Callithrix jacchus: one gene and its partner. Each later gene encodes a partner of the first gene's protein in a complex. Links are inferred from orthologs where the notes say so. Each region holds a gene or a part of one and is shown in the gene's direction. Other genes may lie near its edges. The genes, in order: POLR1B and POLR1H.

Evidence for each region.
Region 2: POLR1B (region 1) and POLR1H share a complex: the UniProt entries of both Homo sapiens proteins name them as parts of the pol I pre-initiation complex. The link is inferred for Callithrix jacchus from reciprocal best matches to the Homo sapiens genes POLR1B and POLR1H.

The regions. Positions count from the first base shown.
Region 1 is NC_133515.1:22,047,229-22,063,193, reverse strand, and holds the start of POLR1B (DNA-directed RNA polymerase I subunit RPA2), read left to right. Parts: upstream 1-5,316; 5' UTR 5,317-5,348; coding exon 5,349-5,525; intron 5,526-9,841; coding exon 9,842-10,009; intron 10,010-10,228; coding exon 10,229-10,375; intron 10,376-11,691; coding exon 11,692-11,824; intron 11,825-11,951; exon of another isoform or gene 11,952-12,349; intron 12,350-13,386; coding exon 13,387-13,523; intron 13,524-14,291; coding exon 14,292-14,515; intron 14,516-15,160; coding exon 15,161-15,332; intron 15,333-15,965. UniProt on the Homo sapiens protein: Catalytic core component of RNA polymerase I (Pol I), a DNA-dependent RNA polymerase which synthesizes ribosomal RNA precursors using the four ribonucleoside triphosphates as substrates.
Region 2 is NC_133505.1:34,792,506-34,808,669, forward strand, and holds POLR1H (DNA-directed RNA polymerase I subunit RPA12), read left to right. Parts: upstream 1-7,413; 5' UTR 7,414-7,456; coding exon 7,457-7,527; exon of another isoform or gene 7,528-7,693; coding exon 7,694-7,848; exon of another isoform or gene 7,849-7,926; intron 7,927-8,085; coding exon 8,086-8,186; intron 8,187-8,392; coding exon 8,393-8,502; intron 8,503-10,548; coding exon 10,549-10,573; 3' UTR 10,574-10,775; downstream 10,776-16,164. Other genes in the region: E3 ubiquitin-protein ligase PPP1R11, read left to right, coding at 12,733-13,127, 14,416-14,524, 14,948-15,039, 15,243-15,327. UniProt on the Homo sapiens protein: Core component of RNA polymerase I (Pol I), a DNA-dependent RNA polymerase which synthesizes ribosomal RNA precursors using the four ribonucleoside triphosphates as substrates. Can mediate Pol I proofreading of the nascent RNA transcript.

The DNA.
Region 1 (15,965 bases):
GTAGGAAGAAGTGAAAGAGAGAGAGGAGGAAGGAAAAAAAAGGCAAGCAGAAAGAGGGAAAGGGAGGGAAAGAGGGAGGGAGGAAGGAAGGAAAGGAAGGAGGGAGAGAGGGAAATTTATAAAAGGGAGGGAGGGTGGGAAGTTTATAAAATAGAACCAAGTAGAAATTTTGGAGTTGCAAAGTACAAAAATATGAATGAAAAATTTACTTGACAAGTTTAAAAAAGGTTTGAACTGGTAAAAGAAGGAATCAGTGAATTAGAATTTGAGATGATCCTGTCTGAGGAACAGAAAAAAAAAAAACCAGCAAAGAAAAATGATCAGTACTTCAGAGACCTGTCAGACACCATCAAACATACCAATGTACATATAATATGAGTCGTAGAATGGAGAAGTGACAGAGAGGGAATGGGATAAAATATATTGGAAGAAACAGTGACCAAAACTTTTCCATTTTGATGAAAAACATTAAAGTAAATCCAAGAAGCTCAAAAAATTCTAAGTAGGAAAGACTCAGAGTCCACCTCAAGACACACCAGCCACTAAGAAAATAATTTTAAATATATAGTAAAAAAAACAAGACAAATATTACACTTAAAAAATATCTATTTAAGAAAAGAGAAGGAAGCAATGAAAAAATGGAGAAAAAAGAGGCATAGGAAACAAACAGTAAAATGGTAGCTAAATCCTGCCTTATCAGTAATTTGATTAAATGCAGATGAATTCAGCACTCCAATCAGAGGGTAGAGATTGGCAAATTGATTTTTTTTAAATCATGATCCAACTATGTGCTAGCTACAAAAAAACACACTTCATTTTATTTTTATTATTTAGAGACAGAGTCTTGCTCGGTTGCCTAGTTTGGAGTGCCGTGGTGTAATGATAGCTCACTACAGCCTCAAACTTCTGGGTTCAAGTAATTTTCCCACCTCAGCCACCCAAGTAGCTGCAACTATGGGTGCTTACCACCATACTTGGCTAATTTAAAACAATTTTTTTTTAGAGATAGGGCCTGACTTATTTCAAAACTTGCCTGGCTATCATTTCACATAATGATCTCCAGTTCCATCCATGTTGTTGCAAGTGACAGGATCTTATTCTTTTTATGGTTGAACAGTACTCCATTGTGTATAAGCACTATGTATTTTTTCAGCCATTCATCTGCTAATGGACACTTAGATTGCTTCCAAATCTTGGGTACTGTAAACAAGACTACAATCAACATAGGAGTGCAGATATCTCTTTAAAAAATTTTTTTAGAGATAGTGTTGTACTATGTTTCTCTGGCTGGTCTTGAACTCCTGGCCTCAGGCAATCCTCCTGTCTCAATCTCTCCTAAGTAGCTGGGATTACAGGCATCAGTCAATACATCTGGCAAAACACACTTTAGATTCAAAAACACAAATAGCTTGAAAGTAAAATGATGGGAAAAGATACATCATGCAAGCAGTAACTCAAAGAACTGGAGTGGCTATACTAATATTAGACAAAATAGGCTTTAAGAAAAAAGTTGTTCCCACAGACAAAGAAGGACTTTTTTTTATATAGTTCCAACTTATATTTTAGATTCAGGAGGTACATGTGCAGGTTTGTTACATGGGTCCTGAGGCTGGGGTACCGATCCCATTGCCTAAGTAGTGAGCATAGTACCCAATAGTTAGCTTTCCAGTCCTTGCTCCCCTTCCTCCCTTCTCCCTCTTGTAGTCTTTCTCCCTCTTGTAGTCCTTAGTGTCTCTTGTTGCTAGCTTTGTGTCCATGTGTATCTAATGTTTGGCTCCCACTTATAAATGAGACCATGTGGTATTTGGTTTTCTATTCTTGGGTTATTTCACTTAGGATAATGGCCTCCAGCTCCATCCATGTTACTGCAAAGGACATAGTTCCATTCTTTTTATGGCTGCACAGTATTCCACTGTGTGTGTGTGTGTGTGTGTGTGTGTGTGTGTGTGTATCACATTTTCTTTATCCAATCCACCGCTGATGGGCAGCTAGGTTGATTCCGTGCCTTTGCTATTGTGAATAGCACTGTGATAAACATATAGGTGCATGTGTCTTTCTGGTAGAAAGAATTGTTTTATTTTGGATATATACCCAGTAATGGGAGGCTGGGTCAAATGGTAGCTCTGTTTTTTTATTTTTGTTTTTTTGATGGAGTCTCGCTCTATCACCCAAGCTGGAGTGCAGTGGTGCTATCTGGTCTCACTGCAACCTCTGCCTCCTAGGTTTAAGTGATTCTCCTGCCTCAGCCTCCTGAGTAGCTGGGACTACAGGTGTGTGCCACCATGCCCAGCTAATTTTTGTATTTTTAGTAGAGACAGGTTTCACCATGTTGGCTAGGCTGGTCTCGAACTCCTGACCTCAGGTGATCTACCCACCTCAGCTTCCCAAAGTGCTAGAATTACAGGTGTGAGCCACCATGCCTGGCTGCTCCATTTTAAATTCTTTGAGAAATCCCCAAACTTCTTTCCACAGTGGCTCAACCAATGTACATTCCTACCAGCAGTGTATTAGCATTCTCTTTTTTCCCACAGCCTCTCCAGCATCTGTTGTTTTTTGACTTTTTAATAATAGCTATTCTGACTGGTGTGAGATGATATTTCGCTATGGTTTTGATTCGCATTTCTCTGATGATTAGTGATGATGAACATTTTTTCATGTTTCCTGGCCACTTGTATGTCAAGGACATTTTAGATCGATAAAGGGATCAATCCATTAGGAAAATATGACAATGATAAACATATGCACCAAGCAATACAGCCTAAAGATACATGAAGTAAAAACTGAGAGAACTGAAGGAAGAAACAGGCAATTTAACTACAATAGTTGGAATCCTCAAAACTCCATTTCAGTAATAACTGGAGAAACTAGGCAGATCAACAACAAAATAGAAAAATACAATAAACCAACTAGACTTGACAAATATCTGCAAGGCACTCCACCCAACAGCAGCAAAATACACATCCTTCTCAAGTGCACATGGAACATTCTCTGGGGTAGATCATGTGCTAGGCTATAAAAACAAGTCTCAGTAAATTTAAAAGAATTGAAGTCGTACTATACATGTTTTCTATGTTGGAATAAAATCAGAAATCAATAACAAATTTTGTTAATTTCTGTATTAATGAAGAAATATACAAGTAAGAAGGTCAGACTAATAACAATTCCTTTTTTTTTTCCTTTTTTACCTACAAAGCATGAAAATCTTTTTTTTTTTTTTTTTTTTTCCTGAGACGGAGTCTCGCTCTGTCGCCCAGGCTGGAGTACAGTGGCACAATCTCAGCTCTGCCTCTGCAAACTCTGCCTCCCAGGTTCAAGTGGTTCTCCTGCCTCAGCCTCCCGAGTAGCTGGGACTAGAGGTGTGCACCACCACACCTGGCTAATTTTTTGTATTTTTAGTAGAGACGGGGTTTCACCGTGTTAGCCACAATGGTCTCAATCTCCTGACCTCGTGATCCTCTCATCTCAGCCTCCCAAAGTGTTGGGATTGCAGGTGTATTATTAGTCGTGCCTGGCCCGACTAATAATAATTCCTTTAAAACTTCCCACAGGGAAAAGCCCAGGACCAGATGGCAAGGAATTAACACCAATATTTCACAGACTTTCCTAAAAAATAGAAGAGAAGGAAATAATCCTCAGCTAACTTTATGACTTCACTCTTAATACTCTGATACTAAAACCAGACAAAGATGTCACAAGAAAAGTAAATAGCATACCAATAGTCTCTTAGGAATACAAATAGAAAAAATCTTCAACAAAATACTAGTCAACCAAATCCAGGAACATAGGAAAAGGATTATACATTATGACTTATCCTAAGATTACAATGTTTGGAATAACACATGTTCTTTTGTAAGTGGGAGCTAGGCTGGGGGTGATGGCTCACACCTGTAATCTCAGTACTTTAGGAGGCCAAGGTGGGCAGATCACATGAGGCCAAGAGTTTGAGTCCAGTCTGGGCAACGTGGTTAAATCTCATCTTTATTAAAAATACAAGAATTAGCTGGGCATGGTGGCGCATACCTGTAATCCCAGCTACTCTGATGGCTGAGGCACAAGAATCACTTGAACTTGAGAAAAGGAGGTTGCAGTGAGCCAAGTTCATACCACTACTCTCCAGCCTGGGTGGCAGAGCAAGACCCTGTCTCAAAAAAAAATTAAATTAAAAAGTGGAAGCTAAACATTGGGTACACATGGACATAAAGATGGAACAGCAGACACTGGGGACTACTAGAGCAGTGAGAGAAGCAGGGGAGCAAAGGTTTAAAACTACTTATTGGATACAAAACTACCTATTGGAACTTGGGTGACAGGTTCAACCGTGTCCCAGACCTCAGCATCACGCAATATACATTTGTAACAAACTTGCACAGGTACCCCTGATTCTAAAATAAACGTTGAGAAGGGGAAAAAAGAATGCAAAGCTTGTTTAACTTACAAAATTTACTTAATATACCACTTTAGTAGAAAAAAGGAGCAAAAAGCACATGATCATTTCAATATACACTGAAAAAGCATTTGGCAATAACACTCTTGGGAAGAAAACCTCTCAACAAACTAGAAATAAATTACTTTCTCAACTTGATAAAGAGCATCTTTGGAAAAACCCACAGCCTACATCATATTAATGGTGATGTGAATGCTCCAGTTGGGAGCTTTCTTCCAACATCAGGCACAAAACAAGTATATTTATTCTTGTCCCTTCAACATTGTACTAAATGTTGGACGCCCCCCTACCACAGCCTCTCCATCTGAGACCGCCCGACCCCTACCCCACCTCCTTCCCCGGGCCTCCCCCAGGACTCCAGTCCAGACGATGCGGGGAGGTTAGCGGGCCCGACCTTGGCCTTCCAGGGGTGAGCCTCGCGATTTAGGAGTTGGGTAAAGAGCCCGGGGCCCGGCATCCGATTTTTCATTGAAACAACGACTTTGTCCGGATGACTCCCCAGGGTCGGCATCAGCGTGGGACTTGGAACAGGTTAAGGGACCGGATAGATGGGAACCTGAGAAGACCGCTTACCTCCAATCCTAATTGACTGAGCCAATGAGAGCCAAAGAGGTCACACGCTCAACTGGGTGAGGAGTGGGTTTCGCCTTCTTTAGCAGAGGAGGGAGATGCGTGGAGCGGAAGATGGGAGAAGGGGCGGACCCGCCACGCTCTGGCTGGATACAGCTTTAACCGGCCCGTTCACTCGACGGTTTTGGTTCTACGTCGACCCCATAAAAACCGTAGGGCCTAGGGCGGGCGGAACAAGAGGGAACTACATTTCCCAGCAGGCTGCGGAAGCGGGACTCCGGCCACTACTTCCGGCGCGTACTGAGCGACGGGTGTTAGGTGTGCAAGTAGCCGCATGGATCCCTGCAGCCGGTGGCGAAACCTTCCCAATGGGCCTAGCCTAAAGCACTTGACCGACCCGTCTTATGGAATCCCGCGGGAACAGCAAAAGGCAGCGTTGCAGGAGCTGACGCGGGCTCATGTGGAGTCCTTCAACTATGCTGTGCACGAGGGTCTCGGCCTCGCGGTGCAGGTGAGTGCGGCATCCACTGGCGCCCTTGCCGCGGAGAGACCAAGCTCGAGGCTGGCGGGCGAGAGGGGCCAGGCGGAGCTGGAGGAGGGAGGGGCGGGGGTGAGGTCTGGGCCTTGTGGGGCGCGGGCGGTGACAGGGTCCCAGAGAAATGGCTCAGAGGCCACAGTGTGACCCAAAATGCGTTTGCTCCTTGATCCTGACAGGCTCAGAGGGTAAGCGGGAGAGCACACGTGTTGAACAAGACGCAGAGCTGGGCCTCGTGGAACGTGTATTCGAGTCGTCTAAGAGATGTATTCGTGATTTCTGGATTGAAAAGTGATTGCGAACCATAGTTTCTTGTTGGATAGTTTCTGGGTTCTGTGAGAGTGAGGAAATGGCTTATTGGGGGTGTGCTTCCCAACCATTCACAATGCACATGCCTTTGTATCACTTGAAGACACCTCTCCAAAACGTACCTCAAAATATTCTGAACGTATTTGTAGGTACAGTGTAATGTACAAGGTTATCCTTCAGTTTCCTTTTCTTAGAGCTTTAAAGAGAGAAACTACTCATTTGTTCTGAATTAAGTAGGTGCTAAAGAAGGTATAAATGAGTCGTAAAGGCAAGATTGAATCGAAAAGTGTAATAGCATTACTAGCGTAGGGTAATGGTAGCAGAATTGAGGTGAGGATGGTGGGGGAAAGTTTCGTTTAGTAAGTATCCCCAGTGTCTCTAGGCACTAGGCTCTGAGGATGTGAAGGCCGCAGTCCCGTGTAAGAGACAGTTCATACATTTAAGTGGTCCCTGTCGTGTTTTGGGGTTAAAGGAGTGAAGATAGGAAAGTAGTCCATGCCAATACGCGAGCACTGCTCTGTCAAGGGATTTTATGGGCTACTGTGGGAGCATATAGGCAGCGCAACTAGTCCAGGAGTTTGAGAAAAGGCAGGATTAGATGAGTTCAAGAGGTGAGAAACATGCATTCCGTCCAGGGGAAGAGTAGAGCAGAGTCACATGCTTAGGGGACCCTACCTGTGGTTTTGTTGTGTAAGATTTGTGTTGTGAGAGATACGGGTAGAGATAATGTGAAGAGCTTTGATTGCCAGTCTGATACTTGAACTCTATTCCGCAAATAATACGGGAGGCATTAAAATTTATTTTTTGGGAAGACAAGAGTGGTGGGGATATTTGTATGTATTGTGCCTGGATTCTTAGAGTATCATGTCTGTGAGAAAAAATACCTAATTAAAAGTTAATTAGACCAGGTACAGTGGCTCACACCTGTAATCCCAGGACTTTCGGAGGCCGAGGCAGAACGATGGCTTGAGCCAGGATTTCAAGACCAGCTTGGGTAACATAGTGAAACCTCGTCCTCTGTAAAAGTTAAAAGATAGCAGGGCATGGTGGTGGGCACATGTGGTCCCAGTTACTTAGGAGGCTGAGGTGGGAGGCTAACTTGAGCCCAGGAATTCAAGGCTGCAATGAGCTATGATTGTGCCACTGCACTCCAGCTGGGGTAACAGAGCGAGACCTTGTCTTTAAAAAAAAGATAATCAAATTGAGAAATTTTAGAAAAGCACTAATTCGGGCCGGGCGCAGTGGCTCACGCCTGTAATCCCAGCACTTTGGGAGGCCGAGGCAGGTTGATCACGAGGTCAAGAGATCGAGACCATCCTGGTCAAAATGGTGAAACCCCGTCTCTACTAAAGATACAAAAAATTAGCTGAGCATGGTGGCACATGCCTGTAATCCCAGCTACTCAGGAGGCTGAGGCAGGAGAATTGCCTGAACCCAGGAGGCGGAGGTTGCGGTGAGCCTAGATCGCGCCATTGCACTCCAGCCTGGGTAGCAAAAGTGAAACTCCATCTCAAAAATCAATCAATCAATCAATCAATAAACCAATTGATTGGGTGTGGTGGCTTTTGCCTGTAATCCCAGCACTTTGTGAGGCTGAGGCAGGCGGATCACTTGAGGTCAATCAAGAGTTCCAGACCAGCCTGGTCAACACAGTGAAACCCTGTCTCTACTAAAAATACAAAAATTAGCCGGGCATGGTGGCACATGTCTGTATTCCCAGCTACTTGGGAGGCCGAGGCACGAGAACCGCTTGAACCCTGGAAGTGGAGGTTGCAGTAAGCTAAGATTGCACCACTGCACTCCAGCCTGGGCGACAGAGCAAGGCTCTGTCTCAAAAATAAATAAATAAACAGAAATAAAAATAAACCAATTGTATGTTAACATTTTTATGAAAATCATTTTTCAGAGCAAAAAAGAAATTAGATGAATTGCATTATTAAAAATCTTTTTAATGTCTGGCTTAATGAAAAGACAGCTGGATTCTCATGTCTGCTTCTGCATTCAGCTCCTTGTGATACATTGTTTTGGTTGAAGTAGATGAAGAAAATTTGGCCCTGCACAGAAAATAATGTCACAACTTATCTAGGACTGTAATAATAACATATTTGAAAATGTTCTGTAAAACACAGTAAAGTAAATGACTACTATTTATAAAGCCAAGGGGAAAAAAAAGTTTTATCATATTTTTATGTACTTACAAAATGTAATTTTGCCTACTTTCTTTGGAGTGAATTCCTCTTGTGAGTCAGAATTTATGGGTCTGTCTTTTCAAAATATTTTCAAAATACAATTGATTTTTATTACTTGGGGAGTCTATCTTTGCAAATTTACCCACTCACTAAAATTTACTTGTACTGCAAAAGCACCGTGCCCAGAAGCAGTGAAAAAGTTGAGTTGTTCAGTATCCATTTTTCCAGCTGAGATCCAACAAGGTGATGCTCGGCCTTCTTGTTTTAAGTTTATAAACTATAAACAGGGGTCATCTTCACTATTATTTAGTGCCTTCTTTGTGCTTTTTGTTGGGGATTTTATTGTTTAAAATGGCCCCCAAGCAAAGTATTAAAGTTCTGTATAAAGTTCCTATCCCACAAGCTGTGCCTTTTGGGGATAATATTAATACATGCATTTAACATAGGCTTTTTTCAAGCCTGAGTTAGGGACTCAGTAATATATATTAAATAGGCTGCCTTTAAACAGAAACATACATAATGCGAGATTGTGTGTTGATTAGTTGATGAAATGTGACCAGAGGCTTACAGGAAGCTACCCATGTATTTACCCTAGGAGCAGTGGTTCAGTATTGGCTAATTCAGTGTTTATGGCAACTGTATAGAACATAACATTGTGAATGACAACAATTCACTGTATTTAGATCTAAATAGTGCAGCTGTGTCTTGAGAAAGCAAATCCTGTAATCTTTCTTTTTTTAAACTAATACTCCATTCTTTTTTTTTTTGAGACAAGATCTACTTTGTCACCCAGGCTGGAATGAAGTGGCATGATTATAGCTCACTGCAGCCTCGACCTTCCAGACTGAAGTGATCCTCCCACCTCAACTTCTCAAGTAGCTGGGACCACAGGCACACACCACTATGGCCAGCTAATTTTTTTATTTTTATTTCTTTGTAGAGACAAGGTCTCCCTATGTGGCCCAGGCTGGTCTCGAACTCCTGGGCTCAAGTAGTCCCCTGCCTCAGTTTCCCAAATATTGGGATTACAGGTGTGAGCCACTGCACCTGGCTTTTTTTTTTTTTTAATAAAATATGAAATTCTAAAATAATACCAGCTTTAGATAAAATTTAAATATTTAGAAAAGGTCAGTTAACTCTCGTGAGGGTGGAGAACCTCATTGGTATTCTTTCTTGGCTCCATTCTTTTCATTCTCATTATTCTAAGACTAAGGCTAGGAGGTTGCCTGCAATGAATATGTAGGAGAGCTTGGTGACCCCTCTTCCTCAGAACAGCAAAGCTTCCTCCACAGAGTGGTGCAAAGAAGTAACTTCTGTGGAAGGGGAAACCCCCGCTGGCCACCATCTTTTCCTTTTCATGGCTCTGGCTCCAGTATGAAGTAACCATTGTACATTAAGCATCTAGTCTTAAGTCCTAAAGGTTGTTTCCATATCCTTGCTTTATTAGCAGCAGAGCTCATTTGTCTTGCTACACACATAGACAAGGTAAGAATACACAAGGCTCTTGGTTCGGAGAACAGGAGCTTTGTTCTGTTCATAGCTGTATCCTTAGAGCCTGCTACAGTCTCTGACACATAGTAGGTACTCAAATAAAATCTTGAGCTAATAATACATTGTGGCTTTATGCATTTAGTGAAGTTATAAGTAGAATGGAGGTAGCCTTAACTGTCTTTTAGGTGTGTCATGGTAGCATCACAGGTACCAGTGTTTGTAGAACATGTAAGATTTGGAAGAGTCTTAGAGAAAAAGTGCCTTGGAAATGCAAACAGTTTAATACTGTGAATTGCATTTCAGGCTATACCTCCCTTCGAATTTGCTTTCAAAGATCAACGTATCTCTTTCACTATTCTGGATGCTGTTATCAGTCCACCTACAGTTCCAAAAGGGACCATCTGCAAAGAGGCCAGTGTTTATCCAGCAGAATGCCGGGGCCGAAGGAGTACCTATCGTGGGAAGTTGACAGTGAGTACCCTCACAATGCACATATTTGGGACTAGGGCAGGTGCCTAATAAAGTTTATGCCAGAAATTGCTTTCATGATGCTGTTGTCTAAGAGATCCCACCTTCTAAATCTAAGGCATAAAATCATTTAATTGATCTTCCTCATTCTTTGAAAATACTCATTTGTTTTCTCAGGTGCAGATATTTCTGTTAAGTAATTTTGTCTCTCATTTTTTTTAGGTCGATGTCAACTGGGCAGTGAATGGAATCTCAAAAGGAATCATTAAGCAGTCTCTGGGCTATGTTCCCATCATGGTGAAGTCCAAGCTTTGCAACTTACACAACCTTCCCCCACAAGCCCTCATTCAGCACCATGAGGAGGCAGAGGTAATCACGGACATCCAGGTGTGAGACAGTAGAGAAGGCCTGAGTTGGGAGTAGGAAGACAAGAAGTGTGTCAGTGGGGGCCACATTTTCTTTCTCTGCTCCAGTTTCTGGATAGGTGAAAGAGATATCAGTATCGTGCCTGCACGCAGGCTATGGCTCTGAATGGCATCAAATTAGACAGTATGAAAAAGTGGCTATAAAATTAGAGAATATTATTGGTTGGGGGAAGAATTGGTAGGTTTTTCTGAATGATAAAGATATACTTCCATGAAATTTGTTTTTTTCAAGCTGTCTTAACCAACAAAGCTATTGGCAAAAATGTTTGTTTAGCTGGGCATGGTGGTGGCATGCACCGTTAGTCCCAGCTACTTGGGAGGCTGAGGCAAGAGCACTGCTTGAGCCCAGGAGGCCTGATTACAGTGAGCCGTGATTGTGCCACTGCACTCTAGCCTGGGAGACAGAGTGATACCCCATCACTAAAAACAAAATTAAAATGTCTGCTTTAATAATAGTAAGATTCTATGTGCATATTTAATGACTCATGCCTTCCCTTCATCATTTCTTTCAGCTGTATTAGGTGGCTTTGCAGTGTTGCACTGAGGTAATCAAGACATACAGTCTGTGCCTACAGTAGAGGCAGATGGTGTTATGTGGCGGGAAGAGGGTTTTGGTGTCAGATCTGGATTTGACACACAACTCTTCCACTTATCAGTCATGTGGTTGGGGAGGTTAATCTCCTTGAGCCTCAGTTTCCTCTGCTGCAAATGGCATAATAGCTATCCCACTCATTGTTATGAGAATTAAGTGTTATGGTGACATAGAGCATCTAGTATAATAAGCCTGTTTCGTAGCAGGCAATTCTTAAATAGTAGCTCTTTATTACAAAAATGTAATATTGAGTGGAGCTATTAAAAGTATTTTTTTGAACTTATTTGGGAAACCATACTCGAGTATTGAAGCAAAATGGTTACCGTTTTTATCTTTTGACACCTCTTTGGAGTAAGTTTTTTTTAGTGTTATTTGAAGACTGAAATCATTTTAGGGGACAGAAAAGCAAGTTAGGTTGAGCCTGTCTAATAGAAGTACCCTGTTTTTCTTCCATACTTTTCTCCATGTCCCTCAGACCTTTGTAATCTACTTGAGAAAACTTAATTCACACAAAGGCAGTGTCTGTGTACTGTGTTCTCAAAGGATCAGTAGTACTTTTCACCTCTGTGCTCCTGTTCTGTGTGTTGTACTGCCTTGGGCTAGGAATGAGGTTCATGTTTACAGTCATGTATCTTTGTTTAACAAATTGTAATTTATCTCTTTGGTAGGAAATGGGGGGCTATTTTATAATCAATGGCATTGAAAAGGTCATCCGAATGTTGATTATGCCTCGGAGAAATTTTCCCATTGCAATGATAAGACCAAAATGGAAAACCAGAGGGCCTGGTTATACTCAGTATGGTAAGTTCTGGAGATTACTAGAATGTTTTTTAAGGAAAATTTAAAACCTTTTTTTTTTAAGTAGATGCATTTAAATAGTCTTTGATAATTTTCTTTTTTCTTTCTTTTCTTATTTTTCCTGAGATAGAGTCTCACTCTGGCACCCAGGCTGGAGTGCAGAGTGGTGTGATCACAACTCGCCATGGCCTCGACCTTCACAGGCTCAGGTGATCCTCCCACCCCAGCCTTCCAAGTAGCTGGGACCACAGGCATGTGCCACCATGCCTGGCTAATTTTGTAGAGATGGAGTTTCACCATGTTGCCAGGCTGATCTCGAACTCTTGGGCTCAAGCAGTCCTTCCGCCTCAGCCTGCCAAAGTGCTGAGATTACATGTGTAAGCCACCATGCCTGGGCTTTCTTTTGTTTTTTGGGTTTTTTTTTGTTTTTTTCTACTGAGCATTCCTGTGTTAAGTTTTCGTAATGGGGATGGAAGAAGAAATGGAGAGATGTTAGTCAGAGGATACAAACTTGCAGTTACAAGACGAGTAAGTTCTGGGGATCTGATGTACAGCCTGGTGACGACAGTAATACCGTATTGCTTACTTAAAATTTGATGAGTAAATTTTAGGTGTCTCAACCACACACACGTGCATACATACAAATGATAACTATGGGTGGTGATTGATGTTTTTATCAGTTTGATTGTGGAAATCATTACATGTATATGTATATTCAAGGTATTGTCCACTTTGAATATATATGATTTTTATCAATTATAAGCATTTTAAAAAATACAAAAATTTCACGGTAGAAAACCTGCTATTATGTTTTACCTGTGCAAACTGAAAGAGCATGTGTATTTTTGTTATTGCTTATGAAGATGAAGGCTAGTCTGCCTTGGCCATAGGTGAATGTGGGTCTTAGATGTCTTCAGGTTCAGGCCACTGTGGCACACCCCTCAGGGTCTCTGTCTGACAGCCACCTGGCCTCTGTTTGAGCACTCTCTGTGACAGTGCTTAAGATAGCATGTTGCATTCTTGAGCTGCCTTGAAAGTTAAACAATTTGTCCTGATAGTTGAGCTAAAAATCAGATTTTAATTGTAGTAATACGTACTGTACCTAGAAAAAGAGCATGTCAGAATGTCTAGTCATTTTCTTTTGCCTGAGTTGATAGTGGTATGTCTTAGCAGTCTTTGCCTGAAACTGAAATAAACTTAAAATCTAAAATTCTACTTTTCTCCATTGGCACTATTAGATCAAACACCGTGTCTTGACCAGACTCCACAGTTTAAGAGGGATATAAAGTGCTAAAAGATGTGGACTCTGTCCTGGAGGAAAACTTTGAAGTTTGCTTAAATTCATAGCTTCAGTTATTTTACAGTAGTGTTTCTCAATCTGGGTAGATTTTGCATGCAAGAGGACATTTGCTAAGTTTTAGAAACATTTTTGATTGCCATTCTTGGCTAAACTTAATGATTTGGCTTTAATTGTGTGTAAGGAGGTAAGATTGTTCAGGAAAAAAATGATTGAAGCAATTATAGAATCACTGAGTTTCTGATTTTTTTGTTGTTCGGTTCAATAGGAGTTTCAATGCACTGTGTGAAAGAAGAACATTCTGCTGTCAATATGAACCTCCACTACTTGGAAAATGGCACTGTTATGTTGAACTTTATTTACCGGAAAGAACTGTTTTTTCTTCCTTTGGGATTTGCACTTAAGGTATGACTTAATGAATGCATTCTTTTGTTATGAAGAATTCATTGAAGGTAGTATCCTGTGCAGATGGGATGTATTCTTCTTATTAAAATAACATACTAGTTATCTACTGCTCCAAAACAGATTACCTCAAAATTCAATACCTTAAAACATCAATAAACATTTCTGTCTCACAGTTTCTGTGGGTCAGGAGTTTGAGAGTGCTTTGGCTGGACATCTGTGAACCGGGGTCTCAGGAAGTTGCATTGAGATGTCAGACAGGACTGCAGTCATTTTGAGGACTTCCAAGGTGGCTCACTCACATGGTTGGCAAATCAGTGCTGGTTGTTGGCAGGTGGTCTTCTCATGGGGTTGCTGTCTATATGGCCCTTTCTATAGGCTGTTTGAGACAGCTGTCTTCTTCCACGTAGTTAGCTGAGAGAACAGAGCAGAAGATGCAGAAGGCAAAAGCTGCAATGCCCTTTGTGACCTAGCCCTGGAGTCTCCCATCATCTTTTCCACCACATTCTCTTGGTCAAGCAGTCCAGCCTTGATTCAGCATGTGAGGAAACTACACGTTTATGAACACCAAGAGGTGAAGAGCCTGGAGGCCATATTGCTGTCTGTCTATCATACAAAGAATGCTTTATTTAGAGTTTTCTTTGGTTCAGCATTAGCAGAGTGCTAATTTCCTTGGGTATTAAAAAAGAGAAGATAATTGTTACTGAATAGATGAAATATTTTAGTTATTAGTGAGAAATTAAAAAGAAAACCTTTTATTTTCTGTTCTAGGCACTTGTCAGCTTTTCCGATTATCAGATCTTTCAGGAGCTCATCAAAGGAAAAGAGGATGATTCTTTCTTTAGAAACTCTGTTTCTCAGATGTTAAGGATTGTAATGGAAGAGGGTTGTTCCACACAGAAACAGGTCCTTAACTATCTAGGTGAATGCTTCAGAGTAAAGCTCAATGTTCCTGACTGGTACCCAAATGAGCAAGCTGCGGAGTTCCTGTTTAAGTATGTGTGCTTTGCCTGAACTGTTTCCGAAGGGGCAGAGGGCTGTCAGTGGTTCTTTGTATTCGTTGCAGTTTGGGTGGGTGAGTCATCTGGGAATGAGAATGGATCTTGGGGTAGAATTCTGGTCCTTGCTAGCTGGGGGCTGCCTTTGATTTTGTGGCTGTTCTCACCTTTATTTTTTTAGTAGTTGTGTTTTATTTTATTGTCCCAACTTTTATTTTGAAATCATTTCTGACATCCAGAATAATGTCCAAATAGTACATTGGACTCATATTCACAAATTGTGAACATTTCATTAACTTACATTTGCTTTTTTACTTGCTGTATACCCAGATGTACATTTTTCTTTCTGTACTGTTTGAAAGTTGCAGGCCTTGTGTCTTTATTTCTTCAAAGCAAGGACTTTGTCTTATATAACCACTGTGTAATTACTAAAGGAGCCAGCTCCATACCAGTGCTGTCCAGTACGCAGACACACGCCGCATGATGAGCACTTCAAATGTGGCCAGTGCAGGTCAAAAACTGAATGCTTAATTTTATTTAATTAAAGTTAAGTAAGCATGAATTAGCGGTCTTGGTTAATAGAGCATTAAGTAGTATTACCAACTAGATTGTTTTAAGCTTTCTTTTTTTCTATTTTGACAGCCAGTGCATCTGTATCCACTTGAAATCCAATACTGAAAAGTTTTATATGCTTTGTCTTATGACACGAAAGCTCTTTGCTTTAGCCAAAGGAGAGTGCATGGAGGACAATCCTGATAGTTTAGTGAACCAAGAAGTCCTTACACCGGGTCAGCTCTTCCTTATGTTTCTGAAGGTAAGTGCGTACCGTATCCACCCTTGGCCCGTGGTACCACTTGTGGAATGGTGTGACTGTCCGGCTGTACTGTTTTCTGCATGTTTATAGTTCCTAGTTTTGGCATCTTGCGTGGTCTCTTTTTGTGTATTCATTTAACAGTAAGGGAATCAAAAATCCTAGCTTTCACCAGGTTTGGAAATTTGCTTAAGAGTTTTATATAAAGACCATATCAAATCTTGGTCATAGTGTTAATGATAAAAAGCAAGTGGCCTGTATTCAGACATGTGGTTGATCCTCATTATTTGTAGGTTCTGTGTGAATGCACTCACTGACTAAAATTTATTTGTGACCCTAATATCACTTCTTGGTGCTTTCATGATTATTCACACACATGACAGAGCAGTGAAGAATTTGAGTCTCCTGAGGCAAATGTTACAACTGAGGTATGGCAGAGTAACACTCTGCTTTCCTGTTTCAGCTCATAATGTAAAGAGGGTCTTTTTTGAGGTGTATTCAGTGCTGTGTTTTTCATATTATCGTACTTTTTATTGGTGTCTTTTTTTTTTTTTTTTTGAGACAGGATCTCAGCCTCACCTTCCAGGCTCAAGAAATCTTCCCACCTTAGCCTCCCAAGCAGCTGGGACTATAGAC
Region 2 (16,164 bases), on another chromosome or scaffold:
GATTTGTCATTACCCTACTGATTTGCACTTTTAAGTCTTCTGCCTGTTGCATTCTGGTGATCCATTTCTAAGCAAGATATAGAACCTAAAGCTGAGACATAGTGATAGAAGGCCAGAGAACAGACACAGCAGCAAAGTTTACATGAGGCAAATCAGGAGGGTAGGACTGAGATTCTGATATGCATCCTGGCCAAATTCCAGAACTAGCAAAGAGAGGGCCAGTTCCTAATTCCAATCAAAGCAAATTCAGCCCTCTTATTTTCACACAGAAGTGGTCTATCTTGATTTTTAAATCTCTTGAAGGGATTAGGGAGCCTCTGAAATATAAAGGAAACTAAACTGACAGTAATGTAAAATGAATAGTGACCTATCATACCAGCAAACACTGTCAAAAACAGTAAGCTACTGGTGGGACTGGCCAGAGTCTAGAACACAGGAGTTATGTTTATCCAGTGCCACACTGTACAACAAAGCAGTCACTTCGCACATGTGGCAACTTAAATTTAAAAGAAATTCAATTAAACATTCCATTCCACAGCTGCACTAGCCACATTTTAAATGCCTCAATACCCACATGTAGCGAGGACTACTGTACTGAAGAGCAGAGGCACAGAACATTTCTATCATAACTGAAAGTTCTATTGAACAGCGGCTGACCTCGCAATATCCAGGGTAAAGGGTGTTCTGCTGGTAAAGCAAGTGGACATCAGAATTATCACAACTTAAGCATAATATTCCTGAGGGCATCCATTTCCATGTATTTGCATCTCTGCTCCTCTACTCTGGATCCCTGCTTTTCCAACTTTCTGGTATGTTGGAAGAAAATAACTGACTAGAAAACATAAATTTCATTCTGCTTTACAAGTGTAATTCTCACTTAAATTTATAAATTTACTTTCTGATTTATCAGTGAGTGCTGGAGGCCCGAGTTTGAGAAAGGCTAAGTTTGATTACCCCTGAATAGGTCCAAACATCAGGAAGGTCTTGCTTAAGTGGGTGACAGAAAGTGACAAAAAGAGCTGGAAGGAACGTGAGAGACTATTACACTCCCTTCTCTAACCTTTCTCCTTTTCACCCTGCTCACCTGAGCCAGGTTAGAATCCGTCCTTTGTACAGCACCCTGTACCTTTCTATGGCAACCTTTACTACATTATGTTTGTAGAGTGATCTATGCCATTACGAAAACTAGTCAAGGGCAGAGACTTCTCTTTATTCACCTTCAGTAACTAATACAATGCCTAGGGAAAAGCATGTAGGAGGCTCTCTAAGTTTCTCATACAAATAACTTGTATGGGGCAAATTACATTTTTAGGGCCTGGCTAGTAGTTCTCTGATGAAGGTATGATATTAAAGACAATATACTAAAAGATAGCAATCTCATCAAAATAACCCTTGGAGAGCTGGGGAGCAGGGAGAATAAAAGAAGCAGTTTAGAACAATTCTTCATTCACCATCATTGCCCAACACCAGTCTTCCCAAGTGGGGAAACTAATAGTTATGAAACAACTAATATATACTTACATTTCACAAAAACAATCGTCTTTCCAAAATGCTAGCAAATATTACTATTGCCACTTTAAAGATGAGGACACTGAGGCTGGGCACTGTGGCTCATGCCTGTAATCCCAGCACTTTGGGAGGCCAATGTGGGTGGATTACCTAAGGTCAGGAGTTTGAGACCAGCTTGGCCAATATGGTGAAACCCCATCTTTACTAAAAATACAAAAATCAGCCTGGTGTAATGGCAGGTGCCTGTAATCCCAGCTATTCGGGAGGCTGAGGCAGAAGAATCCATTGAAACTGGGAGGTGGAGGTTGCAGTGAGCTGAGATCACACCACTGCACTCCAGCCTGGGTGACACAGTGAGACTCCATCTCAAAAAAAAAAAAAAGCAGGGGCGCTGAACATTAGAAAGGATATAAAACTTGAACAAATGCAAATCAACTAAAAATAGTTAAGCTAATTTTCAAGTCCAGAACTATCTTCTTTTTTTTTTTTTTTTTTTTTGAGACAGAGTTTCGCTCTTGTTACCCAGGCTGGAGTGCAATGGCACGATCTCGGCTCACCGCAACCTCCACCTCCTGGGTTCAGGCAATTCTCCTGCCTCAACCTCCTGAGTACCTGGGATTACAAGCACGCGCCACCATGCCCAGCTAATTTTTTGTATTTTTAGTAGAGACGGGGTTTCACTTTGTTTACCAGGATGGTCTCGATCTGTTGACCTCGTGATCCACCCGCCTCAGCCTCCCAAAGTGCTGGGATTACAGGCTTGAGCCACTGCGCCCAGCCCAGAACTATCTTATATATCTGATACACACGGAAATATTCACTGAACCCCAGGGAGAAATGAGAATGAGCATTTTAAAAAGAAAAAGGTTCACATAAGAGATATAATTTTATCATAACAGCATTGAAAGTTTAATCTCTTATTTTTCCCATTTGACTTCTTAAAAAGGGTGGCATGGTCAAGAATTCTCTTTGATATGGTTTCATAATTGTATTCACTTTCTCTCCATCCTGAGACTTTTCCATAAGAATATTCACCTTAATCCGACTTCTACTGCATGGCTGGAAAAGAGGATATGCAATAACTCTTTCCAACTCCTTTATCTCTTTCTTTACTCTCTCATGCTTCTCACATGTAGGTAGTTGGCTCTGGCTTCTTCTCAAGATTCTTTCCTTGAGTCTTTGCTCTGTAAGTGCTCTCCCTTGAATCATGCGTTCCTGGTGATCCTAAATTTGCATCTGTTTCCTCTCATTTACCTGCTTTCTTCTCTGTGCATTCTGGATGCCATGCCCTTCTGGCATAATTTTTGGTAATTTTGTTTCACTGGGGAGTTGTAGCACTTGTCTAAGTGATTTGTTCTTAGATTTTCTAGCCTGTCCTGTATGATGTATGTGCCTTTCTATGTGTTTCATCTCTCTCTCAGGTACCAAATAATACTGTTTTAGTCCTGTGCTTTGGGTTGTTTTCCCCTTCATTTTTTTCTTGATTTCATTGCCAGTCTCTTCTTTCATCATTTCCAGTATTCTTTTATGATGAAAAGACTCTGCTTTGGCAACCAGTAGTCAAGAGAAAGAGCTTTCTCCCTACAGAGTGTTACATACTCATCTTGATATTTCTGAGCTACCAACCGTCTTGCTGCTGTTGTATGCAGACCACCTAGATTCTGTCAAAGTGAAGTTAGGAATTTACGATATGATCATCTTTTTCCTTTGAGAACACATTTAAACAAGATCCAAGCCCACCCTCCCTACTGACACCAGGAAAAGCTAGATGCTCTTTTACTTTAGCTCAATAATTATTATTTTTATTCCCATCACTCGCAGGTGAGCCTGTGAGCTCTGAAAGCATGAAGTATTCACTACCACAAATCAATAACTAGTTTAAAAAATGCATGGTGTTCGAAGTTTTCAAAATGATTTTTTATTTTGCAACTGTGGCTATAGCTGGGAAACATCTGCCAGTGTAGACATACTACCGGAATGCGTCACTTGGGCAGAAGGATTTTAAACCTAAGATTCCTTCTCTGTGTAGTTCTAAACTGTACAATATAAAGACAGTTTACTTACCAAGATCTTTTTCTCCAGTGGAGACTGCTGACCTGCAGCAATCCTAGGATCTTTAGATGAAGTAGCCCAGGCCAATCTGGAAGATAAAAAAACAAAGGTAAATTAAAATGTAGGAGGTGTCAGAACAAAGTTGCTAATAGGCAGGACTACAGCAGGGCCATTGCCCCCATGGGAAACCAGTGCATTCCTGTGGTGGAAAATAATGAATGCTCTTCTAAAAAGAGGATCTTTCCTTTCACATGAACAAGGATACTTTTCCTGTGGACTCAGTGTGAACCACTGTGAATCTTGTATTGGGGATTGTGAGTGGGAAGAGACATGCTCCTTATTGAGGTGTTGTCCAAGTACATCTGTGTCAGACTGCTCAGTCCTCAAGCCTCCTCTGTGTTCTGAGATGATTCTAGGTCCTAGTTTTCTAGATGATTCTAGGTTTCTAGTTTTCTCTTTCTGTAGTTTCTTGATCCAAGCCCTCTCTGCCTCTATCAGCACATACAGCGTTTCTGCCCTCTAATCTTTTGTTCTGAAATTCTGCTTTTTTTTTTTTTTTTTTGAGACAGTCTTGCTCTGTTGCCCAGGCTGGAGTGCAGTGGCGCCATCTCGGCTCACTGCAACCTCCACCTCCTGCTGGGTTCAAGAAATTCTCCTGCCTCAACCTCCCAAGTAACTGGGATTACAGGTGCATATCACCACACCCAGCTAATTTTTTTGTATTTTAGTAGAGATGGGGTTTCACCATGTTGCCCAGGCTGGTCTCTAACTCCTGAGCTCAGGCAATCCACCTGCCTCAGCCTCCCAAAGTGCTAGGATTACAGGTATGAGCCACTGTGCCCAGCCTGAAATTCTGTTGTTATTTGATTGCCCAGCCCTCTGCTTGCCTGCCTTCCAACGCCAATCATCCTTTACCCTAAATCCATCATGAAACTGTTCCCTGTTAGACTCCTCAGGATGGGAATTTGTGGTTTATTTGTAGAGAAGGCTGGTAGCAACACAAATGAAAACTATCAACTTTTATGTGTCATCCCTGGTCAAACCTGAGCTTACTGTGAGGTCATATTTAAGTCACTGAGGATGCCTGGCATTTCCTCTCTGTGCCTTTTATACCATTTACAGCTCAAAGGATGGGCTTTAGAGTCTGACAGGGCTAGATCTGAATCCTAATTCCACCACTTCCTAGGTGTGAAACTCAGGGCATGTAAATTCTGTCAGTTTTCTCATCTATAAAATGGAGACGTAAGACAAAAATCTGCCTCTCAGTGTTATAAAGAACAATTATGAATTCAAGGTAAAGAGCTTGGTAAGTTCTCAATAAATTCTATCTGTCCTTCACAGGTCAAGCTCCTGACTATAAAGTCTTTCTGCTCTACTCTGTCACAGTGATTTTCCCTTCCTCTAAACACTTGGCATATTTTAATTCTATAACTCATTTGAAAATTAATCATGACTTACACTGATATCTGTAGTCATATATCACTTTTAACATTTTGATGCTGAGATTTAGGCTCATGAGTGGAAAACTGTAATTTGTATCTACAATTGTGATGCCTCTATATTATTGGAAAGGACTTGATATCAAATATTTGGTCTCACTCACCTCTTAGGAACATTCTTATTTGCCTATGTAAGCTTATTTTGAGATTTTAAAAGTATGATCTTACTTTTACTTCTCTGTACATGGCTTCTAGCACAGTACTTAACATTACAGTCTGTGATCCCAAGTTCTCAAAATTAATGACTTTGTTGATTGCTGATGATCCTTGACACATATCTGAACATCTTTTTAAATATTTGCCATACATTGTATCTATCTTTTTATTAAATCATTTCCCAGTCCTCCTTGAAGTTTACAGACATGTTTTCTTTATATGCATGTTCTGGGCTCTCACATTTTGTACCTACTAGCACACTTTTATTGTATCATAATTATTCATTCATGTTCGTTGATGTCAGAGAACACATACTTCAACTTCGCAGCCTCAGCTCAAAACCTGGAATAGTTGCTCAATAAATACTTTGATTGTGAGCTTTTCTTGGGAAAAGGATATGCCTTGTAATGCTTTGTTCCTTTACTGAAATTCACAGGGGATGTTAGCTGAGTGTTTTTCAAATTAAAAAAAAAAAAACTGAGGAGGGCAGAAGGCTAATTTCAAGTTCCATTGACAAAGGACGCAGACACACAGATAAGTGAGAATAAAAACTGCCTATGACAATCAGCTCAACAACACATCTCCCTTTGTAAGACAAGACAAAATAACAAGCCATTTCACAGTTAAGTGATAGGCCTTGTCATTCTTCAGCAGTTTGAGTTTTAACCCTTTCGCTATGGTGTTCTCTCCATTACAGAGAAAGGCAGATGGGAGCCTCTTCCAACGAAAGACTACAGCTTCTGTCCTTCACAAGAGAAAATAGTGATGGCTTAATTATTCACAAGTGATCTTAGTTATTTATAGGTGATCTTAATTCTTTTACTAATGCCTCTCAGGTCTCAGGCCGGAAAGTGAGAACCTGGGGTGACATTGTGAGGGCAATGACCCTAAAGCAAGACGCTTTACAGCAGCTATGCCTGCATAAGGGCGACTAGGGCCGCCTCTGCTGTGCTACCGCGTCAGCACTGAGAAAATGCCCGCTGTTGAGCCAGCTAGGGAAGGAGGCGTCCAAAGCTGGCTGAGACGTCTCATTCACCGGGGGAGTTAAGCGAAAACTCCACTCCTCCAATCTCTTGCCTTAGGCCTGACAGCTGTCAGGTAGACCCACAGGCATCCGGGGGCTTATTTGTCTCTATGTGATGCTGTGCTTCAGTGGTCACATTCCATGTCCACTCTCATGTCCTACTTCTGTACCAGGTTCCTATTTTCTTAGAAGAGATAATCAGTAAGAGTAATATAAACTTAATGTCTTTGTTCTTTCTTAACAAGTATGGAAAAGTGCTAACGCATTAGGCTCCTTGCCTCATCCCGGCTCCTAGAAATTCCTGGGTCCGTACCTGTATGATATGTGATGTACTTGACCCTATCACTGCTACGCCCCATCTACCTTTCCCCTGGTTGCTGACCACCAACCACCAATGCCACACCTACTTACCCTGCCCTCAGCTTTGTACTCAAAAAAAGTCAGAATGCGCAGACACGACCGGGGCCACTGCCGGACTCCGCGATCTGGCTGGCAGTGAACCCCCCCCACCCCACGCCACCCCACCCAAACTTTCTATCTCTGTGTCTTATGTCTTTTATTTCTGGTTTCTTTTCTCCACACCAACAGAGAGGGGCTCACAGAACCCTGTAGGGCTGGACCCTGTACCTCCTGACTTCACCCTCACCACTTGCGGTCCCTCAAGAATCCGACTTACCCCTTACAAGCGGCGAACTGTTCCCAAAGCACACAAGGCTAGTTGCGCTCTGCTGAAAGCCCACGTTCTCCAGCGGGACCCAAGGAACACTAAAACTGTACGTCCCAGAACACTTAGCTTTCTTTTTAACTACTCTGCAGCCGCAAAAGGGAAAAACCTGCTCAGGATCAGGGATAGTTGTAGTTCTCTAATCCAAAGAAATCAGTATTCAGCAAAATACAGTTTTCAGGGGGATATCTCCCGGGACTCGGTTCCTGTAGGATGTGAGACAAAGAATAAATATCCGAGGATTGGGTACTGGTGGGAAAATTTGCTGGAAGCGCAGCATTGGCTACGAATTTTGTGCTCAACGTCTCAGCACTAGGGTGAAAGTGAAGCCGCAAACTCCCTTCGGAGAGGTTAGGCTCCATCTCTAAGGCTCCCGAGACAAGGTTCGCAATTATTTATGACGTCACAACCAATTGTCAGCCCGAATGCGTGACGCTCTAGCCGGCTCTAGCTCGCCGCTGAGCGGCGGGCGTAGAGCTGCCGCTCTAGCCCATGGAGTTGGCTCGCTCCTCTCGCCGGCCCCAGGAAAGGGTTGCAAGTCCTTTACTACCCGACGCTAGCTGGTAAGCCATTCCGGGCGTTTCAGCTCCCTGGTCACAGAGGCAGGAGGCGTGCGTGGGAGGAGAGCTCGGGTTATATACTCCCAGGTACTGGGACAGAACTGTTATGACCTCTGTGTTGGGGGGATTCCTCTCTTTTTGTTAATATAACTTCTAACTCCCTCTTCAGGCCTGACCGCATATGCGTCATGGACCTAGCCAGCACTTGCTCCAGCTTTCAGTCGGACTTGGATTTCTGTTCAGAGTGCGGCTCGGTCCTGCCTCTGCCAGGGGCTCAGGATACGGTTACCTGTACTCGCTGTGGCTTCAACATCAACGTTCGGGGTGAGAGGCTTGTACGCAGTGGTCCTGGCGGAGGGTCCAGGGTCGGAAACTTGGGGACCTCAAGATCGGCAGGGGACCCTAGAGCAGGAGATCAGGCAATTGTACATTTGGTCTCGAGATGAAAAATGAAGGAAAGGATATAGGGCTTCCTGGCCTAACCAGTCAGGGGAAAGGGGAGGTTTCCGGTGTCAGCTCCCTCTGGTTGTCTCCATAACCAGTTCTTACTTGCCTGTGCAGACTTTGAGGGGAAGGTTGTGAAGACTTCAGTTGTGTTCCACCAGCTGGGGACAGCCATGCCTGTGTCGGTGGAGGAAGGGCCTGAGTTCCAGGGACCTGTGGTAAGTTAATGAGCTCAATGACTGGCTCCATAAGGTGGGTAGGAAAGAAACGGAGGAATGATTGCAGAGATCTGGAGAGTTGTGTGCCCAAGTCCAAGAGGGAAAAGAGATGTAAAGCATCCATGTTTGAGAGGAGTGATCGCCTGATTCCTGTGGGAAGTGAGGGGATATGAACTGGCCTCCCTAACCCACCGGTTTCTTCCCAGGTTGACAGGCGCTGCTCTCGATGTGGTCATGAAGGAATGGCTTACCACACCAGACAGATGCGTTCAGCAGACGAAGGGCAAACTGTCTTCTACACCTGTACCAACTGCAAGTGGGCATCCCTTCCCCTCCCTCTGCTCAGTCTGTTTGCTAACTAAACAAATCCAGTGATTCTGTTGTTGTTGTTCTAAACCACCATTTCCTTTCGTCCCATTTCTGTGCAGTTCTGGTAATAAGAACATTTGTGGTTGGTTTTTTTTTTTTATTTTTTTTATTACACTTTTTTCTTTTTTTTTTAGTAGAGATGGGATTTCTCTGTGTTTCCCAGGCTGGTCTTGAACTCCTGAGCTCAAGCGATCCACCCACCTCAGCCTCCCAAAGGGCTGGGATTACAGGCATGAGCTACCCTGTCTGACCTACTTTTAGGATATATAAAAGGAAATGAAAAAACAAACAAACAAAAAACATAAGAAGCAGGTATTGTTTAGTGGTCGGCATCTTATACTGCAGTCTTCAACTGCAGTCAAGGTAGCTTTACATTGGAGAAAATTAGTCACGCACGATTTAGGGAACATGGGCTTTCTGAATTATTTTAAGACATCATCTTTGTCTTTGGTGTCCTTCAGTCACTACAGTATATAAAAATGTGATTTTTTAAAAATTCCGTTTGGGATTTGTTGCACTTTCTGAAACTGAGAGTGAATTTTTTTTTTTTTTAATCAGCCTTGGAAAATTATCAGCTATCATCTCATTTAATATTGCCTTTCCCCCATGTTCCCAGTCCTCACATTCTGGACCTCTAATTAGTTACAAGAAGAGAGGTGTCTCTTTTGTCCTCCATTTCTCTCACCCTCTTTTCATATTTCAATCGCTTTTCTCTTTATGCCACCTTCTGGGTAATTTCTTCAGGTCCCTCTTCCATGTCACTAATTCTGTCTTCAGTTTATTTTAAATATTATTTTTTATTATTGCTATTACTTTGAATTCTATTTACTTTTCAAATCTCCTCAATTTTTAAATAATTTTCAGTTCCTTAATCATATTTTAAATTGTTCATTCTTTATATATTTAAAATATTAATTATGGTTATTATAGTCTATGTCTCATAATTCTGATATCCATGGATTTTGTCTTCTGATGCTGCTGTCTTTTGTTTCTGCTCTCTCATGGTGCCTTTTTTCTGTTTTGTGATTTTGTCTATAAATTTGAGTTTTTTAGAACTTGAACTGTAGGAATTCTTTGAGACCTTGAGTGAGTGCTGTATTCTCAGCATTTGCATTTCTTTTCCTTGAAGCACTATCAAGCTGGAATTACTTTAAATAAATTCTTGGCTTCATGTTTTTTGGAGCAGACAGATAGTATGAATTTGAGCTGCAAATCCACGTAAGGGTTAGCTTATGGTTAGAAATTCTCAGGAGAGAGTTTTCTCTCCTGCCTACTAAGACAAATTCCCCTTCTATAGAGTTGAATTTTTTCTTTTCTTGTTCACTTTTACAAAAAAGGGCAGCTCTTTGCAGTTCCCAAATTTATGCAGGGAATCTCCTATCAGACCTTTTACATTTTGTCCCTCATTTCCTATGCTTTCAGTGACCGTCATAACAGTATTAAGGGCACCATAGTGTCACGTTTCATTGGGACTTCAGTTTTCACTGTCTGGATTTCTGGTTTTGCATAACTTTTACCAGTGTGAAGTTTGCCTTTACTTTCTCACCATCTCATCAATGGATTAAAAATATTCACAGTCAGATATATCTTTTAAGAGTATTTTTTCCTATCGCTGGTTGTCATTTTACCAAAAAAAAAAAAAAAAAAAGATTTTTTTTCCCTGACTGTGGCTTGCCTATTTATTTTCTTAACCCTCTTTAAATGAGCAGAAGTTTTAAGTTTTTATGAGGTCCAGCTTATCCCTTTTTATTCTTTTACAGCTAGTGCTTTTTGTGTCCTAAGAAACCTTTGCTTTGAGGTTATAATTCATTGGATATATTTTTAATCCCAGCATTTTTAGTTGTCTTGGAATTGGAATTGGAGGATTATTTAAGGGAGCTAGTCCTCAATGATGTCGTAAATAAAAGTCCTTCCTTGATTATTTAATTGCATATCTTATACTACTAGAAACTCTTCTTTGAGTGAATATAACAAGTCCTTTCTTTCCTCATAGGTTCCAGGAGAAGGAAGACTCTTGACCTTTTTTCTGGACAACTCAACAGTCCCTCCCTCCTTTTGGAAAGTGAAGGATGCTGGGTTCTTCAATGCCTTATCCATCCCATCTGGTTGCAATGTTTTGCTCCCAGAAGAGAATCAGATCATCATGTGGGGATTATCATTGTTCCCAGAGTACTCTTACCTTTAGTTGAATTTCCTTATTAAAGTTATATTTTTCCATAAGACCCTGACATATGTATGTTACTTATAATCTACCTTATTCCAAAAGGAATTTAAATGAGTTTACAGAGATATATGAAAACGAAAAGGGGGAAAAATAAGGACAAAAAAGTAGAGTCAGAAATGAGGCTAATGTAAACAAAAAGCAATTATAAGTATTGCCACTCTACTTAAATCTATTTGGTTCCTGAATTTAGGGTAAGAAAAACTAGGAATTTGGAGAGTGAGACATTTCACAGAAATTCTGACCAGATCTCTTCAGTATATAAATTTGGACAACAAAAAATCTACATAATACCACTAAGTGATCACTACAGGTGGATATTTTATTACTGAGATAAATACAATATACAGTTGACTCTTGAACAACACGGGTTTGAACTACTTGAGTTTACTTATGTGGATTTTCTTCCACCTCTGATACCCGTAAGATAGCATCACATTTAAGCCCTCCTTTTCCTCCTCCTCAGCCTACTCGACATGAAAATGTGATCCACTTCTACTTAGTGAATAGTAAATATATTTTCTTTTCCTTATGATTTTCTTAATGTTTTCTCTAGCTTACTTGGCTGTAAGACTGCAGTATATAATGCTATACAAAACGTGTTAATCAACTGTTTATGTTATTGGTAAGGCATCCAGTCAACAGTAGTTAGGTTTTGGGGGAGTCAAAGTTATATATGGATTTTCAGCTGTTCAAATGGTGAGCACCCCTTATCCCCACATTGTTCAAGGATCGACTGTATATTATAATAGATTCCTATATAGTAACATAGAAAAAAGTAAAGTCACAAGGAATCCTACTCCACAGAGATAACCAAATTATACGGTGTATCTGTGCTTGTGTATATGTATGTGGCTCTATATATGTGTGGTGCTATATGTGTTTGGTTTTTCTTAATGGACTATACTAGATATGCTGAACTGTCTTGCTGTTTTCTGTTTGGACCAAAAACTTTCAAGGGGAACAAATACATACTCAGGTTCTGCATTCTTGGGCTTAAATGGCGATCGAAGGGTTCAGTAATAATTATCACATAATTGTATGGCCCTTTATATATATTCAGAGCTCTCAAACAGCTATCTTGTTTGACAGCAACCTGGAAAATGGGTAGGGTAGTCTTTCCCACTGTACATTTGAACTGTTGCAGCAGTTGACTTTCCTGACCCACTCCTGAAATCTGAAACAAACCTATTCATGTTTCTACCCTACTTTAAGCCTTTCTCTGGCCCATAACACTGACTGGATTAAGCCCAAGTTTCTTAGGAAAGTATTCAGATCCTTGCATATAACCACTACTTACCTGTCAAGCTTCATCTGGCAGTCCCTCAGATCCAAGCAGTACAAAACTCCATTTCCTGTAGTACACACATCTACAACTTTGTAAGCTGCTCTCTAAAACCTACTTGTCTGCCTTCCTGGTTCTTGTTTTACCACTTTCTTTTGCCCTCTTAAGAAACGTGCATATATCTTTATAAAACGGTCTATACTGTAATTTATGACCATTTCTCTGCTTCATCCTACTCATCACCCCAGAGAGAATGTTGGCAGTAACTAAATTCAGATTTACAGATCAGACTTGGCATTTGTTAATGCTCCAATACTTCATATTTTTGTCAGTTTTCCGCTTGCCTACCTTTCCTACTAGAGTGGGAGCTAAAAGTCAGGGTCTGAGTGTCTTACGCGCCTCCATCTTCAAGGCGTAGCACAGTGACTGGGAAAAAAAAAAAAAACACCCACGTTGAACGTGCACTAAACTGCCCTGCTCAAACACCTACAGGCACGAGGCGAGGGCTAGGACCCACATCACTTGAGTCTTAAGTGTGTTTCCAACTGCTCCCAAGTTCCTTTTTCATTAGAGAAACCCAGACGAAACAACAAGGAAAGGGAAATAGGCCACGATAGGGTCTATATTTCTCCTCAAGTTTCCTCGCCCGTCCACTCACCCAGACAGGGTAAATGGACTGCGGCAGGACTCAGCCTGGTGCACACACCTCGCCCTCGTCACACCCACTATGCAGTTTCTTGCCCGGCTGTACCCATCTGGGCGCCTCTCCTGCTTCCTCTAGGCTGTGCAAGCGCGAGCTGCCCTTGACTCTCGCCCCGCCTCCGACACCGGCAATGATACCCCTTCCGCCAAATTTGTTTCTCTTTCTTGCAGCGCCTGCGCGCTGTCACGTTACGGCGGAACTAATCCAGCGACGCCTGCGCTTTGACGCATTTGGTGCCGGGGAAGGGAAAAAGGAGGACTGCAGAATGCGTCACACCCGGAAGCAGAGAGCCGGAAGTGGAGTTGGCCAGGCTATCCCGAGGGGTGGAGAAGCGGAGGCCCAAGAGGAGGGGGAAAAAAGAAGGTGGAGGATCCTGGCTACCACTCTGAATCCGATACCGCTTCTCTTAGACCTCAGAGACAGAAAAAGGGAAGGGTGTCTTATCCCCCTTCCTCCTCTCATCCCTCTCCTGAGCCTTAGCCATGGCCGAGGCAGGGGCTGGGCTGAGCGAGACCGTCACTGAGACAACGGTTACCGTGACAACCGAGCCCGTGAGAAAGGCGGGGGGCGGTGCTGTTAGGGGTCTGGGAGATACTGGGAGGGAGGGGACAGGGCTGAGAAGAGTTGCTGGAGGAGCTGGGCCTGGGGATATGGGAGGTGTGGGGTTGGGTATCTGGGGCTGGGAGAATCGGAAGGTATTGGAGCTATTTGGAGTGGCAGAGATGGTGCAGGAGGCTGATCAAGAGACGTAATAGGGAGGTACAGTAAGGATATGGATGTATGCTGCTTGGGTTATGTGTATAAGTAATGAACGAATGGGAAATTGAGGATTAAGGAGCCAGGAAGATGTTGGGAGGAAATCAAAGGTCGTGTAAGATAGCACAGTTGAAGGCCAACTTATCAATATTATCAATACTTATCATAAATATTTGTTGAATGGATGAATGTAAAAGGAAGTGACAGGAATGAGGAAACAAGAAAATTAGATGAAAACAGGCATTTTGAGAAATCAGAGAGCAAAGATGTAAATGGAGAAACAAGAAGTATTTTTCCAAAAACATGTTAAGTTTCCTTCAAAGGGAGAAGGTTGCATTGGGCTTAATACTCTTGGATTAAAGGGAGTTTAGTAATTAATAGATTAGTAATACTTGCTACTAGAGATGCCAGGATGCAAGGGAATGGGCGGATAAGAGGTAAGGAGGGCTGGAGCTTGAGAATGAGAGTTGTTGTTGTTGTTGTTGTTTTTAATGGGAAAAAGAATAGGGGATCTGGAAAAAGGAAAGGAAATCAAAGATTAGGTGCTGGGGACCGAAAAATAATTTTCATGTATTCATACTACCAAGGATGATTTGGGGAGGAAGACAGAGAAACAGCAAGGATTATATTTTCCTTCAAAGAGTTGCTGGGACCTTCCCTAGGTTAGCAATTGAATCCTCTTATACTGGTGGTATAAGAACAGGAAATAATACTATTCCTCAAGGGACTCCCTGAGGTCAAAGACCTGTTCTGTTTTATCTTGTCTCAGCTCCTCTGGTGCTATGTCTATGGTACTGATTGAACTAAAGAAGAAAAGAGAAAAGGTTCCCTGGGAGGGAGTGGGAAAGGTCAGTAGGAAGGAACTAGATAGGTACGCCCATCCTTAACCTTCTAGGAGAACCGGAGCCTTACCATCAAACTTCGGAAACGGAAGCCAGAGAAAAAGGTGGAATGGACAAGTGACACTGTGGACAATGAACACATGGGCCGCCGCTCATCAAAATGTGAGTAATTGTTGGCCCACAGTAGTCCTGGAGTTCTGGCTCCCTTCAGCATATCTTGTATCTACTCATATTCACTGGCTTTCCAGAAGCCCCCAGATGCTTGTAATTCTGTCACTTTTTTGGCGGTTCTCTGGTATCAGGGAAAGAGGTTAAGGGCTGAGGGAAAGAGGTAGGGACGGGCTAGAATTGGATTTGCCTAGGTCTGCCAGCAAGAAGTATCAGAGGTGGCAGAAGTGGGGCTTTGATTTCTTGGTTCTGTAAGAGGACAAGGGGGCTAGGGCCTGAGTCCCAAGGGGTGGGCCTGGGGGAGCTGGATCCTGGAAGGTAAGAGGAAATAGAAATTTTCACTGAGATTGAGTGCAAATGGAACTGATTGTACATCTTACCCTTCCTCTTTAACTGGGCTCCTCTCTCTAAATCCAGGCTGCTGTATTTATGAGAAACCTCGGGCCTTTGGTGAGAGCTCTACGGAAAGTGATGAGGAGGAAGAAGAGGGCTGTGGTCATACACACTGTGTACGTGGCCACCGCAAAGGACGGCGTCGTGCATCCCTGGGACCGACCACCCCTCCCCAGCCTCCTGACCCTTCCCAGCCCCCACCAGGGCCAATGCAGCACTAAATTCCTCTCTACCCAACCATTCCTGTGTCTGTCTGGCCCTGAATGTATCCATGTGGCTACTTCTCCAGCCCCTTCCTTCCCTCTCTTTTGCCTGATAGAGGGAAGAGGAAGAGAAGAGTGGACAGAGATCCTGGAATTCTGACTTGCTGCTATTCCAGAACCCAGGCTCCTGGGTTCCCCTAGTCCTCATTTTTCCTCCCAATACTCACCCTTCTCTCTCGAGGGATCTAGGCACCCTGGTCCCAGTCTCTTCCTTTTGTTCTCACTGCCAAACTGCCTGTCCTGGGATCTAGTTATCCTGGCCCTGCACTCTCAACTTGAGTAGTGAACACTTAAATTGGGTTTTCAACAATCCCAGCTTTCACTGCCAGGGCCCCAGTCAGATTCCAGGAATTCGCACTCTAGCTATGCTTGCTAATCCTGGTTTAGAGCTATCCCACTAAAATAGTTAATCCAATTCTTAGTTCTTGCCTGTGAGATATGAGGTCTTACAGGAGACCTCAGGGCTCCCAGCCCTTCTCCTTTTGCTAACCCTCTTCATGCCCTCAAGAGGAGTTAGGAGAGAGGTCCTTGCCATTCTCACCTCTAATGGAAAATGGAACGAGAAATAATCATATCCTGTCTTCCCACCCTTCTCCTGTGATTTAGGATTTCTGACAAAGCTGGCTTGAGATTGATCACTTAGAGCCAACTATCTACTCAGCCTTTTGTTTTTCACCTTCAGAGACAAATCCAATATAGTCCCAGGGACCTGGGGGGAAAGGGAGGGAGCAAAGAGATGGGGGTATATCCCCTATACTACACTCTTACCGCTTACTTCCTAGGCATTGATTTCTCTACCAGTCCAGATGATCAGTTCTCTTGGCCCTCCCTACCCCTTACTGGGATCTGGTTTTCATTTTCCAGCCCTTGCCATACACAATTGCAGAGATCAGTCAAATCCATACCACCACTGAGATCTCATTTATTGCCACAGATGCACAAAATAAATAACCCAAAATCACAAAATGTGTTAAATAT